3 linked regions of the Pelodiscus sinensis genome follow. The protein of the gene in region 1 purifies or fractionates together with the protein of each later gene. This does not show direct contact. Links are inferred from orthologs where the notes say so. Each region holds a gene or a part of one and is shown in the gene's direction. Other genes may lie near its edges.

Region 1 (6,945 bases):
TTCAAGGGAAACTAGGACACTCCAAAGAGACTTAACCACTTCCTCATTTATTGCAAGTCTTCAAGCTGTTAATATAGTCCTTTGTTTTACAAGCCTCAAAAAACAATTACTATACAATTTAAGCCTTAAATACTACAAATTTGTAAAGCAATTAATACAATACAAAACAATACAAAAGCAATTAATAGGAGATTTATTATAATGCAATAATTAAGCCTTGTTCACTTACACTTCATTCACATGCCACCTGCAGGAGGTTCATTGTCCCTTTTACTGCCACACTTAGGGACGCTGTGCACTGCCACAGCTAGTGTGAATGGTCTTTTACTTTTAGTTACAATAAGAAGGACTTGTGGGTCAATCCTGCTTACTACCTCCCATCAATTCTTCTTGCTAAGCCCATTTTATAGCAAAGCAAGACTTGGTCATTCTAATAATATCTACTAATTGATTACATATTGTGTAAGATACCTATTGTGCCTTTATTAGGGGTACATCCTACTACTCAAGATGTTGCAAAAAGTATGTGCTTGGTTAACAGTTCTATGACTGTATCTGCTTTTTCTTATTAGGAATAAAATGTATCAGTACTAGATTAATCCAGTTCTCTTGGCATTATCACACTGAACTATGCTGGAAATGCATGATTGTGCAAAAACATTCCTGCTTCAAAGCCCCAGCCTTACCTGCATGCTACGTGCACCAGACTTGAGACAGGCTTGGGTTTTGCTTTGTTAGAGATCTTTACTTTGAGTAAAGCAGACGCTGTCTTGGTCAAGACAGGGCTGTTTAGGCTCCCCTACACTATACCATACAAAACTCCTGAACCTATGCACTTTTTCACTTCTTTAGGATATATGGAAAATGCCTGAAGATTTTTTTCTTTGTACTTTTAACGGTAAAAATTCAGATCCTGTCTAAATGTGAGTGGACAACTAATTCAACGTTGACCTCATAAAAGCTAAGAGACAGAAAGCTGAAGTATTAAAAAGGGGAAGGATTTTTAGCCAGATTGTTTAAAGCTGTTCTTTTCCTCTTTTAACAGCTATATAATTTAAGTGGGTTACAGTTGGGCTAAAAGGAAGGTTTTGTTAAATATTCAGTAACCTTGGTCCTTCTTTTAAGATGTGAAAATATTCATTCACTAGAGACCGCTCCCAGTAGAAGCCCAGCATTGACTCTTATGAGGTCTTGCCTGCACATACTGGTTTGATTAAAGATACATCATAAATCTACTTACTTAAACTGGTACAAATCTCTGTGTGGACACTTAAATTCATTTTAATCTGGTTCATATTAATTTAACTTATACAGTCAGATTTACTATATAAACCAGGTTTTAAAATCAATTTAAGGGCTTGTCTACATGAGAGAGTTGCAGTGGTTTAACTATTGGTGTGATTTTTTTAAACCAATTTAATTAAATGATTACAGATACTTATATTTTGTTTAGATAAAAATTAATTAAAAGTTTAAACTAAACCACATGATGCCACTCTTAAACCAAACTAAGAGTGTCCACAGCAAAGTTTATACCAGTTTAATGACAGTGGTATAAAAACTGATTTAAATTAAGTTATTGTAACTTTCCCATGTTGACATCGCACTTCCCTACGGAGGCTTGCAATAGCCCATCAGCAATAGTTCATCGGCATGACCTGTCAGCATTTTCATCAACATTCCCACACACCCAGGAGGCAGAGCATGCAGCAAATTGTTGAAACATGGTACCAAATGCGGACGGAAGTGCCAGGGTTGTTGAGATGTGAAGTGATGCACTAAGGCCGTGTTTCTCAAACTGTGCGTCCTGACCTCCCTGGGGGGGGGGTCGTGAGCAACTTAGAGAGGGGTCACGGTATCACAAAGTTTGAGAACATCTGCACTAGGGGCCACTGGGATTAGGGATGTTAGTGGTTAATTGTTTAACCGATAAGCTATTGCTTATTGGTTAACAGTCCCAGTTAACCACAATAACACCCCCCCCCCTCATGCTCTGCATTTAAAACTTGGACTGGCAGGCTGGCTCAATCAGCCTATCAGTCTGAGTTGTAAATGAAGAGCAGGCAGGGGAGCTGTATCAGAGGCAGCAGTGCAGTGTGGTAGGGGCTCCCTGGGTCTGGGAGCGCACTTGGCTGCTGCCTCCATCCTCAGGAGCCATTGCATAATCCTGCAACTGATGTGGTTATGTGATCATTAAATTAAATAATATCTAACATCCGTAGCTGGGACAGGGCTCAGGGTGTCCTGTGCCTCCCAACACCTCTGAAGGGGAAGAGGTGCTCTGGGAGATAGCTGCCCAGAATGCAGTGTGCTGCAAGTGCCATGAGTGTTGCCAGGCTAATGAACTGGCAGCTAACACTGTGGCCACCCAACTGTGGTTTCATTGCTGCACTTTGCAAGCAGCGCTGCAGTTGCCAGCATTTTCCATCTGCCAGGGTAGCCATGGCCTCAAAGGGTGTGTCTAGACTACAGAGTTTTGTTGACAAAAGTGGACTTTTGTCGACGAAACTATACCTGCGTCTCCACTGCTGCTGAGTTCTGTCGACATAACGTCGACAGAACTCTGCAGTTTTGTCAACGGCTGTAAACCTCGTTCTACGAGGAATAACGTCTTTTGTCAACAGAGTTCTGTTGACAGAAGGTATTATTGCATCTACACCGTCATGTCGACAAAGCAGCTTGCTTTGTTGACAGAACTGGATGTAGTCAAGACACTCTTTGTCGACAGAAGCTTTGTCAACAGTATGGGTATGTCTACATTACATGGCTCCGTCAACAGAGCCATGTAGATTACCTATGTAGACATAGGAAAATGAAGCGGCAATTTAAATAATCATCGCTTCATTTAAATTAAAATTGCTGCCGCACTGTGCCAATCAGCTGTTTGTCGGCACAGCTCTGTAGTCTGGACACTCCACGGTCGACATCAAAAGCATTTGTCGACCTCCCCGGTAAACCTCATCCCGCCAGGCATTATTTAAATCGCCACTTCATTTTCCTATGTCTAGAAAGGTAATCTACATGGCTACATCCACATTGGCATGATCTTGTGCAAATACTCTTTAACGCAAGAGTTCTTGCATTAAAGTATTTGCGCAAGAGAGCGTCTACATTGGCATGTGCCTTTGTGCGAGAGATGGCTTTTGCGCAAGAGCATCCATGCCAGTGTAGACGCTCTCTTGCGCAAGAAAGCTCCGATGGCCATTTTAGCTATCGGGCTTTCTTGCGTAAGAAATTCATGCTGCCTGTCTACACTAGCCTCTTGTGCAAGAACAGTTGCGCAAGAGGGCTTATTCCTGAGCGGGAGCATCATAGTTCTTGCACAAGAAGCTCTGATTTCACACATTAGAACGTCAGTGTTCTTGCGCAAGAACTCCTGGCCAGTGTAGACAGGCAGCAAGTTTTTGCGCAAAAACAGCCACTTTGGCGCTAGATCACCCCAATGTGTAGACAGCTGTAGTGTAGACCTATCCTCTCTGTCCACAAAAACCTCTGTTGACAAAAGCCTGTAGTCTAGACCTACCCAAAGTCTTTCTACAACACTTTCCATTAGCCCCGCACCCTACGGGCTGAAGAACGGGACTAAGATGTTTACAAAGTCCAACCACCAGCAAAAACCACCCTCCTGGCTCGCTCAGGGCAGAAGCCCGACTGGAAGCAGAAAACGACTCGTTTGCAGGTTGCAGGCCCTGGGAGCGCTTGGCAGGAGCGGCAAGTCTGTCCCCGGGCGGGCTTCCTCCGCACCTCCTCGGTGCTTTCCTTTCTTTACGAGCTCAACCGGCTCCCTGCCCCGTGCGCGGCGCCAAACCCAGCAGCCCGCCGTGGCCTCGCGCTGCGGCTGAGGGCGAAGGGACCGAACGCGCAGGCACTGGGCGGCCCGGGCTGGAGGCAGCGAGGAAGGAGCTCAGGGGCGGGGCCGGGAGAAGGAAGGCGCGGCCCAAGCGGGAGGGGCGGGGCTGCCGCTCGATTGCTCCGGTTCCGCCTCCCGGGCGATCGATGCGTCCGGACTCCATTGCGGCGGCCTGGCTGTGCGGGAGGCGGAGGCGCTACCTGGAGCGACGCTGCCCAGTGCCGGTTTCAAACAGCGCAGCGGCCGGTGAGTGCTCCCCCCCCCTCCCATCCCGGACACACGCACGTTAGCGCGAGCCGGCTCCTAGTCACTGGCCTCGGGCCGCACCCCCGCCGCGCGCCTCCTGCCCCGGGGTCTCGCTGCCGCCGTTGCTAATAACGATCCGGATCGGGCCGTTGGGATCCGCCCGGTACGCTGCCCCCGCCGGGCGCTGGATGTGCGCGGCAGAGGCCAAGCGCTGCCCCCGCCCCCCAGCCGCACACTGCGGAGGCCCCGCTTGTCTCCGCGCTGGGCCCCGCCGAGCTGCCGCCAGCCACTTCCGTGCCGCGGGGCAGCGCCGGTGGCAGCGGCTCGGCGCCAGCACTGCCCGTGGGGCCGGTGCGGAGGGGCGGTGGATGCTTGAGCCCTGGCTTGGAAACACTGCGCGTGTCTCTGCTGCTGTGGCTGGCCCGTGCGAGCTGAACTGTGCTAGGCTGGCTCTGGACGAGGCGCTCAGTGTTGTAGTTGCTTGGGCTGAAGTCTGAGACCCTCCCAGCTTGCCAGGCCTTACAGCCCAAGCTGTCACGCTAAAGTCCTCTAGAGTGGACCAAATGTCCGTGCTGCAATAGAACAGCTCCTTGGCCTGAGCTCCAGGAGCCTCAGTCAGCTGGCAGGGGCCACCACAGAAGTCTAATTGCAGTGTAGACATACCCACTAAGTCCACAAGCCCCAGGTCTCTCAGATCTGAATTCATAAAGCACTGTACACATACCCATATAGTTGGTCACATAATCACCGATATTTTATGGACTTGGTCACTTAGTCATGTAGAAAGTACCTGCAGCTGAGGCTTCAACCATGCTGTCGTTTTGGGGTGCTTTAAACAGGATCCTGTTCATCTGCTTGTTATCAAATCTGGAAGACCCATATAAAAACATGTGTTTTTCATTTGAATGGAAGCTCTTATTTAAATTATGTCTGTGGCACTGCAGTTATATTCCTCAATGAGGGATAAAATCACTGATAATACAAAGACTTTACAATTTAAAGGCACCATAAATATAGTAAATGGGCCAGTAGTGGTGGCAGTTGCTCTTCATTATAAGGTACAGTAGAAAAGTAACATACTACTTCCAGACTTCATGCAGTGGCATGGGAGCCTGAAAACTTTGAGGGCCCTAGCTTTGAGTCTGCATCAGGGAGCTTGGATGCACTAATAAATTGTAGATCTTGCATGAGTTAGGCTCCCTGGCTAGCTGGATGCCTGGCCATCTGACGACTTATGCTGGGGGAGCTGGGCAGCTCAGCTGGTCCAAGAGTTTGGAAGCCTTGAGGCCCCTGGAGCAGGCTGCATCCAGGCCAGGACCTCCAGCAGCTCCTGATGCAATTCGTGTCAGTTTCATTGCTGTGCCCACCATTGAACAGCAGTGGTGAGAAACAATGTGTAATAGATAAAAATAGTGGTAGCCCTATATATTGAACAAGTGTGTTAATTAGATTAGGGTATAGAGAAATTAAATAGTGATTTGGTGAGCTTATATTCTACTAGTTAAGCAGGAATGTACTTTTTCTTTCTTTAGACGGTTGTGCCCACGAAAACTCATGAAACCATCTACAGTACATGTTTTGTTAGTCTTTAAGTGCTACTAGACTACTTGTAGTTTTTTCTTTCTTCATTACTAATCTTTATTAAAATCCTGTGAAGCTTATAATGTGGTGTCAATTTATGTAAAACAACCTGGATAATAATTTATCCTGAATCTCTGTTTCTGGCAAAAACAGGCATGTAATGCAAAAAGATTGCTACTGCTCAGAGCTACAGTCTCTGAAAGGCTAGCATGTATAAGTATTTTGGCAGTTTTCTTTAAATGTATCTTGTCACAGAATGAGTGACTTAACTTCTGTGCTGCTGCTTCCCTGGCTGTTATATAATAATGATAATGACTGCCTTGAAAAGCACGTTGAGATCTGTTGATAAAAAGTTCTGGGTAAAAGCTAGTTATTATTGTACCAGCCTTTATCCAGGTGCTTGCACTAAAATGTTGGTTTGATCCAATGAACTGGTTTATAGATGAGGAGGTTAGGAAGACTTTTTCTTGAGAATCCCTCTGCTCTTAGGGAAAGGTGAGTTTTTTCTTCCTATAGAAAAGGCTATAGTGCCCACCTTCGATGTAGTTAGTGGATCCCTAGCTATATCTGTTTGGTGGTCCAGAGCTTCAGGCCTTAGCTGACCCACCTCTAAATATACTAGTGGATATGGAAAGAAATCATGTTCATCCACCACTAGTCTGGCCTCTGATCCATCCACACGCTTCCTCTTCATTCTGACCTACTTACTTACTCATCACATACAGTGCACCTGTGGTTTATGGATAGCCTTCCATAGTGTAAACAAAATGGGGGAGAAGAAATGTCTCGTGAGGGTTCCCTGTACATGTGGGAGATGGTCTAGGCCAGAGATTTTAATATCATATGAAGTAAGTGTGATTAAAAGAAAAAAAACCAACCAAACAAACAAATCCTCATGGATAATAGTGCATGTGCATAGTGGTAACTTTTCACATTCCATCCTCCTAACATCAGTGTAGCCAAAGGCACTAGTCTGTGTTTACGTGTACAAAGTATCAGTTGCAAAAATAAAACAGATTTCAAATTAAAGTATAAAAGCAAACTGAAAATTAATCTGGTTGTTTACATTCCTATATCTCAAAACCAGCGGCAAGTCCCCCCACCCTAATTTGATGGAGGAAAACCCACCTGTCTTTTGGGTTCTCTTGCCAAAATTCAGTCTTGGGCACATTTTTTAATCCTAGATTACAAATTCCTGAAATTAGAGGTTTATAATGAAAAGGCTCAGTTTACCTTTAGAATCTTAACCACATCCTAGACTGCATGCA
Region 2 (7,557 bases), about 29 Mb from region 1:
AGCTTTCCCTCCTAAATCTCTCCCCCCCCCCCCCCCCCCCCAGCTAGAATCTTAGGACTGGAAGGGACTTCAAGAGATTGTCTAGTCCACCCCTCTGTACTCATATACATCGTATTATTGATGTGATGCAAGAGAAAATGGTCCAAGTATATTGAGTTTTACCCAAGCTAGTGCATGGCACACAGTAATTCTTTGGGGGACCCAAACTGAGAACAGTATTTAAGAAAATGTACATTTTTACACTGCCCATGCACAAAAGTACAGAAAAATAGCTAAAGAGTTTCCATCCCTGACATTTTATGCACTTTAAACTCAACTCTTTAAGTGCTCTAAAATCCAAACAGATACTCAAATTTGCTTTTAAATTTGATATCCTTAATGGAAGCACAAGGCCATCAAATTTGGGGTCATCTGACCAAGGGGTTCTAATTTAGGACATCCCCCAAAAACATTTCTCTTCTTCTGCCTTGTACTGTTAAACTGAGATTAATGACTGGATGAATCACAGACCTCTTCATGACTGTGAACTCACCCTTCAATTAACATAAGTAAGGATAAGTTCTCCATAAACCCTCACCTAAAACATAAGGATTATTGAACTTAGTGGCTGGAGGTTGCTTTAGTTTGTGAGTCCTTGTGTGGTGTGATTTCATTTTGGGGAAAACACAAGAGCTTGGCTACGTCTACACTGGCAGCTTCTTGCACAAGAACTCTTTTGCAGAAGAGTTCTTGTGCAAAAACTCTTCCACAAGAGAGCGTCTACCCTGGCATGTGCTTTTGTGCAAGAGATGTGCAAAGAGATGCGCAAGAGATCCAGGGAACTGACAAGTATAAAAATGGGGTGCTCTTGCCATGGAACTTTGGGTTCTGTCCTGCCTTGGCACTTCGGATCATGACCAACAGAACCCAGCTCCTCACTCATGTTCAATCTAACTGGCCACTAGATTGATTTGAGTTACCACAGACTAGTAACTAGTATCATCTGCTAGACCTGTGTGTGTGGATGCATATGCTACTTTTCCTGTTGTATTGTCAATATATGTGGCATATTGTCTTCCCCCTGAAAAAGATCCTGTGTGCTTCTAATAAGCACAACACAGTATTTGTGAAGGAGCTTGGATGCAGTAGGAGGTTTTTACCTGGGGCAAGATGTTGGGAGTGTGGAAGGGAGTAGGGTATCAGATACAGGCTCTGGCCAGGAATCGAAAGTGTTTACTGGAGACAGAGCCAGGCGGCAGCCCATCAGGATGCTTGGATAGGCTCCCTTCCTTCTGCGGTCCCACACACTATTCAAAGTGGCTGGCTGCTGGGGTCAGTGTGTGTCTCTGGGCAGTGCGCCCCTTGGGAGAAGGGGCTAGCAGGTCTCCATGTGCTGCATGTACCTGCAAGCACTGAGCCTGCAGCTTTCATTGGCTGATTTCTGGCTAATGGGCGCTACGAGGATTGTGCTGGAGGTGGGGGCAGCACACAGAATCCTCTCCGCAAGCAGCATGCACCACACAGAGATACACATGCTTGCCCCAGCAACCGGATGCTTTGAGCAGTGTATGGGACCACAGAAGACAGGGTAGCATCAGGCTGCATTCAAATATTTGGCAGGCTGGATCTGTACAGGCTGTATTTTGCCCATCCCTGCTCTAGCCTTAGGTCTACAATGGCAAAGACATTTTTCCTGTAATGGTAGCTCTGGGCTGGGTGGAGCCAGCCATCAAAAGCAGGGAATGTCCAGTGCTTCTCCTTGTTTTCTCAATGACTCATCTGCTGCAGAGGTAGATTTAAATGAAACATACCGTACCCTGGCATGCCCCCTCCCAATGACACAGAGCCCCCCTGGGCTGGGCAGTCCAGTACCGGATCCAACACCCCCCCACACAGGGGGTGGCCACTCTGCAGGGAAGTGGGGGCCAGTCCCTCTGCAGAAAGGGCTGGGTGGGGGGGAGAGCAAGAGAGCAGGGAGGCCCACCTGCAGACTGCAGCCTCAGGTGAGCTGTCAGAAGGTAGTGAGCAGTGCAAACATGATCTGGAAGGCTTCAGAAGAGCCACACAGCCGGCCAGAGAAAAGCGGTGCTTTGAAGCGGGAAAGCGCTGCTTCTCTTTGGCCGCCAGCTGTGCATCTACCCAGTGATCTCTAACGCCTTCCAGCCTGTGTTTGTGCTGCTGGATGCCACCTGGTGAGTGGTGGCTGCCCGCAGGCAAGGGGGAGAGTGGCCAGGGGATAGAGAGCCCAGGACGGGGAGAGGGGCAGCACTCAGATGACTGATAGCACTATGCCTCCCTCACCTTTAGGTAAAGCACATGTGGGTCTCTGCCCACTTCTTCAGGCCAGCCAATGCAGGGCCACTGGGGCACCTGAAGGTGTCCTCTGCAGCCACAGAGATTTTTTTTTTTTAAATAAAGCACTCTTATCCAAAGCACTTTGCAGTAATTAGCGAATGGTACAAACAATATTTGGAAAGATCATTAAGTGGTCCACCCGAGACCTTCAGCAAATTTCAAATGGTCTGTGGAAAAAAAAGTTAGACTACAAAAACAATCAAGGCGCCTCACTTTATTTTCATTTACTTCTTATTACTTATAATATAGAAGGAGGGGGGCAAAAAGGAAGCTGAGCACTGGGCCTCACTAACTCTAAATCTGCCACTGATCAGCTGGCAAGTAGGGAATGAGGAGGAGGGAGCTGCCTGATTCAAAGAAGGGACAAAAGTTGAACTAGAGGGAGGGAAAGGAGTAGACTAGTAGACTAGGCTAAGGAGTCTGGTGGAACTGGGTCTGGTGTGGAAGGGGGCAGAAACCGTCTGCAGTGTTGCCAACACTCATTATTTTGTCATGAGTCTCATAATAATTATTGTTTGCCTTAAAGCCCCAGCTCGTACAGTCAAACAAAGATGCGATGTTTTCAGCCTTTATTCTCAAAGGAAAAATGAGTGTCTAGCCCTTATGGTTGTGGAGAAATTTTCAAAGTATGATCCCCATGCACCCTAAAGGCTCAAAAAGCAAATGAAAACCCATTTTTACATAATCTCATGATTTCTGAACATTTCCAGTTTTCTGGAGTTCAGCAGAAAAGGACCTGGGGATTACGGTGGGTGAGAAGCTGGATATGAGTCAACAGTGTGCCCTGGTAGGCCAGAAGGCTAATGGCATATTAGGGTGCATTAGGAGGAGCATTTCCAGCAGATCTAGAGAAGTTATCATTCCCCTTTATTCAGCACTGGTAGGGCCACACCTGGGCTACGTCTAGACTGGCATGATATTCCGCAAATGCTTTTAACGGAAAAGTTTTCCATTAAAAGCATTTGCGGAAAAGAGTGTCTAGATTGGCACGGACGCTTTTCCGCAAAAGCACTTTTTGTGGAAACAAAATACAGGACTATGTAGCACTTTAAAGACTAACAAGATGGTTTATTAGATGATGAGCTTTCGTGGGCCAGACCCACTTCCTCAGATCAAATAGTGGAAGAAAATAGTCACAGCCATATATATACCAAAGGATACAATTAAAAAAAAATGAACACATATGAAAAGGACAAATCACATTTCAGAGCAGAAAGATTCTGTACCAATCTAGACGCGCTTTTGCGCAAAAAAACCCCGATCGCCATTTTCACGATCGGGGCTTTTTTGTGCAAAACAAATCTGAGCTGTCTACACTGGCCCTTTTGCGCAAAGGCTTTGCACAAAAGGGACTTTTGCCTGAACAGGAGCAGCATAGCATTTCCGCAAGAAGCACTGATTTCAGACAGTAGGAAGTCAGTGTTCTTGTGGAAATTCAAGCGGCCAGTGTAGACAGCTAGCAAGTTTTTCCGCAAAAGCAGCTGCTTTTGTGGAAAAACTTGCCAGTCTAGACACAGCCCTGGAGTATGGCATCCAGTTTTGGGCCCCCCACTATAGAAAGCATTGGAGAAGGTCCAGCGGAGGGTAACCAAAATGATTAAGGGGCTGGAGCACATAACCTATGAGGAAAGGCTCAACCATTTGGGCTTATTTAGTCTGCAGAGTGAGGGGGGATTTGGTAGCAGCCCTCAACTTCCTGAAGGGGGGTTCCAAAGAGGATGGAGAGAGGCTGTTCCTAGAAGTGAGGGATGGCAGAACAAGGAGCAATGGTCTCAGATTACAGTGGGGGAGGTCTAGGTTGGCTATTAGGAAAAACTATTTCACTGGGAGGGTGGTGAAGCACTGGAATGGGTTCCCTAGTGGAGTCTCCATCCCTAAAGATTTTTAAGTCCTGGCAAACGTGTCTTGCCCGGGAGCTGCGCGCACAGAGGCTGACAGCCCAGGGAAAAGCAGCTCCCAAGGACACGCTTTCGAATCCCGCCCCGCCACCAGGGGGTAGGGAAGGGCGAACGCCACGCCACGCCCCTCGCTCGGACACAGCATTGAAGACTATCAGCGCAGGCGCAATGGGGAATTGGGAAGGAAAGGACTGGCAGAGGATAATACGCATGCGCAGTATGAGAAGCGGGGAGGGAGGGAGAGCGAATTGGTTTCGCGCTTGCGCAGTGAGCCTGAGGTGCCGGGCGGTCGCTCTGCGATTCCGGCGTCCAGGGCGGCGCCTGCGCATTGCGCGCCTGTCAGTGACTTCCTGGGAGCTGGCAGCGCAGGTACGAAGTGGCGGCCTTCGAGGCCGGTGTCGCTCCGCCTGGTCCCCGCGGGGCGCCGGCTGCGGGCAGGACCGGGCTCTGGGAGCGCGGGGCCGAGCACTGCGGGAAGCCCTGGCCGAGGAGAGGTTGGGGCGGGGGCAGGTTGGCAGGGGCAGGTGGGATGGGGGGGGGTTGGTTTCTGCCCCCTTGCCACGACGCTCTGGCAGCTACTGCGCGGAGCAGCCGTTCCCGTCCCTGCGAGCGTGACCGTAACCCTGGGGGGGGGGGGGGCTGTGCCGGTCCTAGCTCATCTCGGGGCCTCTTTGTGCTGCTGGGGTGCGGGCACAGGGCGAGGGGCCAGATGGGCTGGGCCTGGGTGGGATCCTGTCGAGTTACCTTCCGGGGTCCTTGCGTTATTACTGATGGGGCGGGGGGACCGGAGGGTCTGGTGTCAATTTGAGGATTCGCGGAGGCCAGTGCAGAAGAGAAGCCAGAGAACCTTTGAAGGACTCCCCATTGCTCACGGCCTACAGAATCGAAATATCAAACCTGTTCAATGTGGGGCGCTGTTTTAAATTTTGCCCTTTTACTTACTTCCCTGATGTGGCAGCTGTCCAGAAGCACCTGTGCATTAGGTAGGAGCCTCTTTTGAAGCACAGAAGGGAAGGGTGACCCTACCCAGTCTTTTTACTTTTCTTTCTTCTCTTTTTTTCTTAACTCTCATTACAGAATCCCAATGCTCCTTCATATTTTCCAGTTTTGTGATCTCCAACGCCTCTTTTCTCTGCCCCTTGAAAAATGTCAGCCTCATAATTCAGTTTGGACAAACTTGTTTTAAACAAGTATTTACAACTTATTAATTTAGATAGCTGTATTAGCTCCATTTTGAGCACTACACCGGTAAAATTTTTAAACAGAATATCAAGAAATCTGTGTTATGTTTCCCACAGTCCCTGAGGCCCTCAGTCCCTATCAAGCCTCTCTCTGGTAGTAGGTGCTGAGCAAACATATAGGAAGAAGTAATGCTTCCCTAATATGTTTATGGTATAAAAATTCAGAAAACAGAAAGGTAGTGTGATACTGTATCCAAGCAACATAATATTGATTGTATCTTTTTTAGTTCTATGTTTTATTTTAAATATAAATACTTTTAAACGGCTTGTCCCGTTTAGCAGGGAAAAAAACAGGTATTCTGGCAGCTGCATCAGTCTTTTATTCAAGAGGCTTGACTCTGGAGCTGGAGGTGCTCCATGTGGTTTTAAAGGGGCTTGCTGAGATGTCGTTTTGGACAGAAAGATGTCAGTGGCTGGAAATTCCCTACTGTTGTTCAAGTCCAATCAGAGAGAGAATTTCAGTGTTAATTTTCATAGTCCAAGCTCTCACCTCACTAGGGTGCAGAGGATGATGGAGTAGTTGTGCCAGTGTCTGCTTCCAAGATTTCTCATGATTTCCAAACAACAGCTAAGTGAAATTGACATGGTTTTTGTTAGTTTGCTGCACCTATAGTATTATGTAGTATCAGTCTTGTTAATTTCACTCTGTAGATGATTGGGAAAATCATGAAGAGCAACAAAGGCACCAGAGCTTGTTTGTCTACAAACTCAGAAAGATAACACATCATGGGTTAATGCTTTCATATTGAGAAGATTACCCTGACAGCTGTAAATCTGAAAACCTTATTTTTTAACTTAACGTTTAAGCTCCTTAGAAAATTAATAGCTTAGGCCTTCTTCCTTAGCACATAATAGGCCTTATTTGCAACTAATAAAAGAATTTTTCAAATGCTGTCAAATTATATAATTTGTTTATAAAGCCAGCACATCGATCGTATATACTTGATTGTTGTCTGTCCCAAGAGGAAATTGTCAACAATCAATGAAAACATCCTATACTAAATCCATGCTTAACATTAAGGTTGTAGGGACTGATGATCAGATTGAGATGAGTCTGGAAAGCCCCATTTATTAATATAATCTGTTTAACATAGGGGTTTAGAGACAGAGTGGTAGTTGACAAGACTGTTAAAGTCAAGAAATGCTTCCTTGAAGAGGAGTCTCACCAGTGCCTTTTCAAAGGGTTGGTGTACCCTCCTTTCACAATGGAAAGTGTTAATGATCCTCACAGAAGATAGCTCCAAACCTCCCACATTGGTCTATACAGCCACCATTGCCAAAGATCCAGCTTTATGAATTTGCCACTGAAATAATTTGCTTTTATTAATAATGCAGAAACAAATTCGATGGTGTATTGTCATGCAATTTATACATTAGGTGTTGGTCTTTGGATGATTTGAGAATTTATTAGGCATTATAGGGAATCACTAAACTGCATCTGAGAGCGAATTTCTCAGGCCAGGTCCAGAGACTTATGATAATAGGGGTGGTGCTGTAGTGCTAAAAATAGCTGTGTAGCCATTTCTTTGATGTTGCAGCTCCAGCTGGAACTGGGCTGGGAGATTCACTCTCAGATGCAATGCAGACGTTTTTAGTGACGGTATGAGAGTATATACTTGTCTGGTTTTATTTTTCTGTGTTTAAATAAACACCTTCAAAAATGTTAAACTTGACATATATCCTTCAAATCAGTACTACATATCTGCTTAAAATGTTCTGAAATAACAAAATGCTTAAAGGGTTGGAGAAGTATATTGAGCAAATGTGGTTTCCTCCCTTTAATATCAGAAGGATATACTGAGGTTTTTCCTGGAATAGATATGTCTTAGAATATGGGGAGGGGAAGTGGATAAGAAACAAGAGGATCTAAGATACTAATAATAATACAGAGAAAAACTGATAGGATGGAGTTAAGACTGCTAGGTAGTACTTAATCCTCCCATGAGTGCAGGGGACTAGACTAGATGACATCTTGAGGTCCCTTCCATCCTATGATTCTACATCAGTAATTTAGGGTAAAATACAATACAGGGATATTGTAATTCTATTAAAAAATTAGAATGTCAAGAAACTCACATTTAAGA
Region 3 (6,968 bases), on another chromosome or scaffold:
CAGTTATCTGTTCACATCCCTAAAGTGCCTATAGTCAGGATACCCCTTCCATGCACAGGAGTGGAGTGTTGAGTGTCCCTGGATTGGCAAATTCCCCTACCCAGAGATTGTTAGCTGCAGCTCATTGTATTGTGCAGAGAGTTCATGGTTTCAGGATGAGGCTGGATATGAACTAGGAATGGGTTGTTCTGGCACCTCATAGCCATAATGCCTAGAGGGCATTCAAACATGGCCATTACTGCTGGCTGTGGCTGGCAGTCTTTCTCTTCCAAGGCATAATTATGGATGAAGGACTTAACTAGCATTCACTGCTCCCATTTTCTCAGGTGATTTTTGCTTCTCTCCACAGCAGTCGAAGTCCAGCTCTGTATTTCTGAGAGACTTTTGGAGTTACATAGACTTTATATAAAAATGGCTTTACACTAGCCATATCTGGGACACTAGTAGCTTTAAAAGTTTGGGCTGCCCCTTTAAATGCTCAAATGTGTGCCTGAGTGACAGAAAGCACACTGCTATATATGCACTCCATAACTGCTTGTGCCTACACCTAAGCCTGCACTTGCAGGCATTTGTACATTTGTATGAGTGCCTGCTTTGCACATATGCAGCCAGTGGCGCTGGAACTACGTGTGCTGGGGGTGCTGCTGCACATCCTCACTTGAATTAGTAATAACTCCCACCAAATACATGGTTTCCATGGTTTCCATCATCAGCACTTCCACTTGCCTACAGGAGGGTGCTTTACAACAAAGCTCAGTTAAAATGTTTAATGTTTCCCCCAAGTCTTGACCTCCAGCTTGATGGCACTTGCACACTGTGGGGTGGGGAACAGTGCATTCTGGGGGATGGGTGCAGGTATGGCAATTGTCACAACAAACAGGGAATATCAAGCATCACTGCTTGATGCCAAGGGATGGGGAGAGATGCTGGGGCAAATGGAAATGCTGGTTCCATTAGATCAGTGGTCACCAACCAGTAGATTGGGATCTGTGGGTAGATCCTAGAGCCTCTGCCAGGTGATCCTGACTTGTTTGGCAGGGAGGCTATGAAATGCCAGCATTTCAGCTGTCCCTACCCCCACTTCCCACTGCTGTCCTTCTCCCACCCTCTGCCTTGGAGCTGCCCCCTGAGAGCCTCCTGCACAGCAAGCAGGATGGGGGAGGCAGAGAAAGGGGAGCTGGTGTTAGGGTGTCCCTCCCTGCTCACCTTATACCTCATCTCCATAGAGTGAGGAGGGCGGACCCTTGGATAAGGCGTGGGGCAAGGCAGGGCCTGGGAAAAGAAGTGGGGAAGGAGATGTGGGCAAGAGTATTTGGGTTTGAGGTAGATTCTGGACGGACAAATTCAAAAAGGAATCTTATGCAGTCTTCAGTAACTTTTTAAAGCACTAGACCTGCCCTGCGTATATTGGGGAGGAAGGATGATACTTAGGGGCAGAGTTAATGGTAATTTCCAGGACTAGCAGAGACCACAGAGACAGCAATATCTGAATCCCATTCTCTGACTGTCAGGGTGGGATTAAGAAAGATGCAGGCTGTGGAGTAAGGGGTGGAAATGTCAATTCCTTTCCCAGAAGGGAAGCTACAACCAGTATTTGCCTGCCCTCCATCTCACAATGAGGCCTAGTACAGATTAGTCCTCTACAGCATTGGTTCCCGAACGGGGGGTGGGGGGCGGGTGCAAAGAAATTCTAAGGGGGTGCGTGAGGCTGAGAAATCTATGAATTGATTTTTTTATTAAAAGGGGAGTTGGAGGATGGTAAAGAAAAGGTGGGGAGGCATGAGGATTTCTCAAAAATTAAAAAGGGGGCGTGATTCCCGAAAAGTTTGGGAACTGCTGCTGTACAGGTACTGATGGGTCTTCTATGCCATTCTCTCCTCCTACCTTCCCCCCGCCATTAGAGTTAATTGAGTCCTCACTTAGGTGAGATAATATTGGTTCCTCCCTGGCCCATTCCTCCCTAATCTGTTTCCTATCACCTCTCCAGAGACTTGATCTATAAGTAGGCCCTTTAATTTCAGGTACTTAACACAGCCCAGATAGATATCTAACAAGCAAAAAATGGATTTGTACATTATGTGATAAGAATGTTACATATCCAGTGAATCCATTAATCAACAGTAGGTGCGCTTATCCTTCAAGAATAGACAATAACATAGATGTGAGTATAAGATGGATGCAGAGACCTTTATAAAAATTAACCACATTGATTTCTGGACACAGTCCTAAGTGGCTGGATCTAATGGAAGTTGGAGTCCTGTTGTTTCATTTATTATGTCTTGTGACCTTGAATCAGAAATGTACTGTAAGTAGGCAAAACCAGAACAGGTAGTTGTGACTAAGGGCACTAACTAATCATTTTAATAACTATTGTTAAGTATTAAATTAACTTCTAATGTCCTCAAATTATTTTAAAAAGTAAAACCTAATCTCCCTTCCTATTGTTCAAGATTAGAACTCTTAGTCAAGACAGCCTTTCATCTGGATTTGTGTGACATCCAGTGGCTGGATGGGTCAATCACAAGTGCATATTTACAATTAATGATCCAAAAGATGACTCCCAAACATTAGGTCAGGTGTGGAGAACTTTTTTTAGAAGCCACTGACCCACAATAAAATTAGTTGGGGGCTGCACACAAGTGACAAACAAACAAACAAACAAACAAACAAAAACCTAAACTCTTACTGATGTGGCTCCCGACTGAGGGGCGCAGGCTAATAGATTCTGTGTGCTGGAGGAAGAACATCGAGTCCCAGGGACTGGATCCAGGCAATCCAGAGCTGAATTCAGCACCCAGGCCTTAGGTTTCCCACTTTTGCACTAGGTGTTACACAACAGTGAACACCTCGAATGTTTCTTACAGAGCAGTTAATTTTTATTTAAAAAAATAAAGGCAATAGATAGAGAAGAAGCTTGTGCAAGACACTGCTGTTTTTAGACAACTAGGCTTTTTATAAAGTGTCATTAACTGCAGCAAAGCACAGGATTTGGATCAAAATCAAGTTTTTATTTAAGTCTCTGAGTGAGATACCAAAATTGGTAAGCTATAAAAAGACTGCCCTTTCCATGCAACACTGCCTGTTGGCATTAGGTTTGATTCTTGATGAATTTAGCACTTCATTCTCAAGTCTGACAAAAATGGATGAGATTGAGATTCATTTGAGGAAGTTGTACCAAATATTTTTCCATATTGTAGATTAATGGTCAGACTATGACTTTAAGTAAGTGGTGCTCTGAGTCTGGAGTCTCAATGCAGGATTGAGGCCTACATAATGTATTAGTGTGAATTTAATTTATAGAACCAAGGGACACCATGAACTTAAAAGCCACATTTCTATTTGAACAGTTTATCTAACACTGTAAAAATGACACCTAAAATTGCTGGAGCTGAAAGAGAAAAAAAAGCATAAACATTTCTCTGCTTTTTAGTGGACTTTGTGCTTTTCACAGCCCTTTTCCCTAAGGAGTTTCTGTTTGTGTGGGTCTCATGCAAAGCAACAGGGACAAGACAAACATTTGGCAAATAGGAAAATAGTTTTCAAACTGACAATAATTGACAAGATGAACTCAAAGGTAGGTGTCCTGTATGAATTCACGTGTAAATTATAATTTGAAGATAATTAACTTACAAGATGAAAGGGGACACCAAAAATCTGAAATACTTTTCACCAGTGAACTGTTTTAAATATGTTTATAAAGTGTTATATACTTTTCACAAAATCTCCCTTCTGTTTTCAAGAAAAGACATTAATTAAGTGGGAACAGAGTAATAGGCACATGTTACCAGAAGATAGGAAAACAGCAGCTGTGCAGCATGCTTGGACACAAAGTCCTCAGGAATCACAAGGTCAGCCCAGGGTCTAGTTTTTCACTGCTCTTTTGCTGACTATGGAATCATTGTGGTAGTGATCGTAAGCAGAATAAAAGTCCTGCACTAAAGTTAGAACTGTTTCATGCTCTGCAATGGCTAGAAAAAGCAAATTAAACTTGTTGGAGCTTTATTCAGAAGAAAACAAAGATCAAATATATGAAAATGTCTTGGCTGAGATTGAGTCGTTTGAGCTGCCTCTTGGAACCAGTTTGAGGTAGGCATGGTTTATATAATATTTTATTGTACAAACTGTTTTTGTTGTATTTGTTGGCTGTTGTTTTCCCCACCCTCGGGTACTGGAGACCTAATTCTGCACACACTGAAAGCCATAGGAAAACGTCCTTTGAATTCAATGGGAGTAGGATTTGACCTTAAAGGAACAAGCATAGACTCTACTCAGCCCCTTCTCACCAGAACAAAGAGTGACTTTACAGACTTACCCAGGGGTGGGCAATAAGTTTTGCCCACTGGCCGCTTCAAAAAAATTTTAAGTGGTCACGGGCCGGCACGGGGCCTAATTCGGAAGGGGCGGGGCCAGAATGCTTCTGGGCTTCCCCACCCCCAGACCATAACTGGTTTGGGGGTGGTAGAGCCCATTTGCCCCTCCTTCCCACTAGGCACCCATGCCCCTGGCAGGGTGGGAAGAGGCTTCACACACTTCCCTGCCTCCAGGGCCTGCAAGAAACCATCCTGCGAGCAGCGCATGCCAGTTTGAAGTGTTGCACACTCTTCGCAGGGCCAGGGCAGGTCGAAGGAAGCTTCAGGCAGCTCTCCCACCCCTACGCCCTGATTGGCCTGGGGGCGGGGAGAATGCACGAAGCCTCCTCTTCCCACCCTACCCCCTGCAAGGAACACGCGGCATTTCAAAGTGCCACACGCTGCTTGAGGGTGGGAGGAGATGTCATGTGCTCCCTCGCCCCCAAGTCCTGATTGGCCTGGGGGTGGGGGAGCGGCAGGGCTTCTGCGGGCTGGATCCAGCACGCAGAGGCCCTTTTGCCCACCTCTGGACTTACCAAGTGCTCCATGAAGAAATAAATTACTTTTATAAATGAAACCAAGAAACAATGGCTGTTTTTCCTTAATGAAATGATTTAATTAAAATGCTTGAAAAAAATAGATGGGTAACTTTTAATTCGGATATTTTAAGACAGACACTACCCTTGTTTATCATCAAAGTCCCCCCCATGCACTACTAAACTTTATTTAGTGAAATTCCCACATGCCTTTGAAAAATTTAGATATAATGCATTTACAGTTTACTGAATTTTTGTGGACATGAAACTTATATATTAAAGATTGTATGTTTAGCTTTACTGGTGTCTGCAGCAGTGTTAGGATAGCTTGTCTGGTATTGCAGATGTCAGTTTGCAGTAAGGATTATACTAAAGAAAGAAACCATATATCTTTATTTAGAAATTTAATTCTTCCTGAAAATTGAATTTATTACCCTATTCTGTAAATAAAATTGGTGATGGAAAAAAGAACGTGGGAAGAATTTCACTATATTTCAATTATTTCTACAGGGAAATAATATAGCTAAGGTAGCTAAAACCTGTAAACGGTTTCCTCTTGAGTTTACGGTTTCCAGCCTTGTGAGTAGGGGGTGTATTTTTTTTACTACTTCCCTAACTGACATAGCTATGCAGCAAAACTTTCTACTATAGACCAGGGTTAACAGTATATTTCTAACTATTGACTGCACTAGTTTGTTGGACTCAGGAGTAAGTAAGTAGGCCAATTTGCAATATCTCTCTTCTGTATCACTGCCTGATCTGTACTTTGCAGGATTTTCTTTACAGTTAGAGAAACTCTCTGTAGCTGACAATGGATGCCACCAGTAGGTTCAGCTGAACATGATTTAGCTGCAACTGTAGGTGACACCCAAACTGCATTCAGTACTGTTTCATTAACTGTGGCCTAGTGCTTGATGATGGCTTAATTACTGTTTGTGCATTAGCTGTAATCATGTTCAGCACCATTTCACTTTCTGGGCTGTTCAGCTGCACCGGATGCTTTTAACTGTTAGCAAAGGTTAGCTTTTCTAGTCTATGAAACACCATAAATTCACTTTTAAGGATGAAATTTTCTAAAGTTGGCCTCCATTTGTGCACAGATGATTTTGCATTGTAAAAATATCCAGGTCTGGCCCATGAATGTTGGCAGTTTTTGGAACTCAAACCCAAATGTATCATAAAAAGAGAAAACAAGTATAAAAGCTCCTACTTCTCTGCAATAATAAGGAGCCTGATTAATGTTCCCTCTAATTTTTTCCATTCATTTGCAGAATAAATGTTCTTATGTGCACCAAGACATGTACAGATGTGCACCATCAGTAGAAACACATGCTTCTGGCTCTGGGTGCTTTGCTAATCAACTGGGCAGCATTTGAATCTCTCCAGGTGGCCACACATGTGCTTATAGGAAACACTAACCCTGATGTATCTGAGTCCAAAAGCAGTGGAAAACATGTATCTAGTACCCAGAGTCAACGGAATCTTGCATATTTTTATACCCAATCTGCCAAATTCTATAGGTTAAATAGAGAAAAAATTAAGCAGTTCCCATGAAAATAAATAACAATACTGAAAAGAAATCTATACTTAAGAAACTGATCTTGCAGTACCAAAAAACACCATCTTCTAACACCTGCATCTTGTTAGATTCAGTTTGTAATATTTTTATCCCACATACAAAATTTCTACTAGCTAAAGTGAAAAATACTACGAGCTGCTCTAATTCCACTGCAAAATGCATCACTGATCAACGGCACCACAGAGACATATATCCAGTAGCTGGAACTTGCTGGAGCCTACAATTTTGGCTGAAAACCCCCAACCTGTACAGGTATTGTCAATATAGACAGTGCATGTTTTTATTTCTGCTTGAACAGAAAAATTCAAGTACCAATAGATCCCGCTGCAAAAGCAACACAAAACTACAGAGATTATGCCTAGATCTTGTTGGCTCTAAGAAATCTTGGCTGCAGGTCTCTAAAGGTACGTCTGCACTGCATGGCTATTTCGGGATACTGAGGTATCCCGAAATAGCTACCCTGCGTCTACGCAAGTCGCCCATTATTTCAAAATATTTTTCAAA

Evidence for each region. The genes of interacting proteins can lie anywhere in the genome.
Region 2: the proteins of EXOC2 (region 1) and EXOC3 purify together in Homo sapiens (affinity purification with mass spectrometry; 6 studies listed by BioGRID and IntAct, counting the BioPlex papers as one, with this or other methods). This does not show direct contact. The link is inferred for Pelodiscus sinensis from reciprocal best matches to the Homo sapiens genes EXOC2 and EXOC3.
Region 3: the proteins of EXOC2 (region 1) and EXOC6 purify together in Homo sapiens (affinity purification with mass spectrometry; 5 studies listed by BioGRID and IntAct, counting the BioPlex papers as one, with this or other methods). This does not show direct contact. The link is inferred for Pelodiscus sinensis from reciprocal best matches to the Homo sapiens genes EXOC2 and EXOC6.

The regions. Positions count from the first base shown.
Region 1 is NC_134712.1:115,925,936-115,932,880, reverse strand, and holds the start of EXOC2 (exocyst complex component 2), read left to right. Parts: upstream 1-3,939; 5' UTR 3,940-4,096; intron 4,097-6,945. UniProt on the Homo sapiens protein: Component of the exocyst complex involved in the docking of exocytic vesicles with fusion sites on the plasma membrane.
Region 2 is NC_134712.1:144,901,289-144,908,845, forward strand, and holds the start of EXOC3 (exocyst complex component 3), read left to right. Parts: upstream 1-4,480; 5' UTR 4,481-4,601; intron 4,602-5,192; exon of another isoform or gene 5,193-5,215; intron 5,216-7,557. UniProt on the Homo sapiens protein: Component of the exocyst complex involved in the docking of exocytic vesicles with fusion sites on the plasma membrane.
Region 3 is NC_134718.1:42,542,576-42,549,543, reverse strand, and holds the start of EXOC6 (exocyst complex component 6), read left to right. Parts: upstream 1-3,891; 5' UTR 3,892-3,964; coding exon 3,965-4,086; intron 4,087-6,968. UniProt on the Homo sapiens protein: Component of the exocyst complex involved in the docking of exocytic vesicles with fusion sites on the plasma membrane.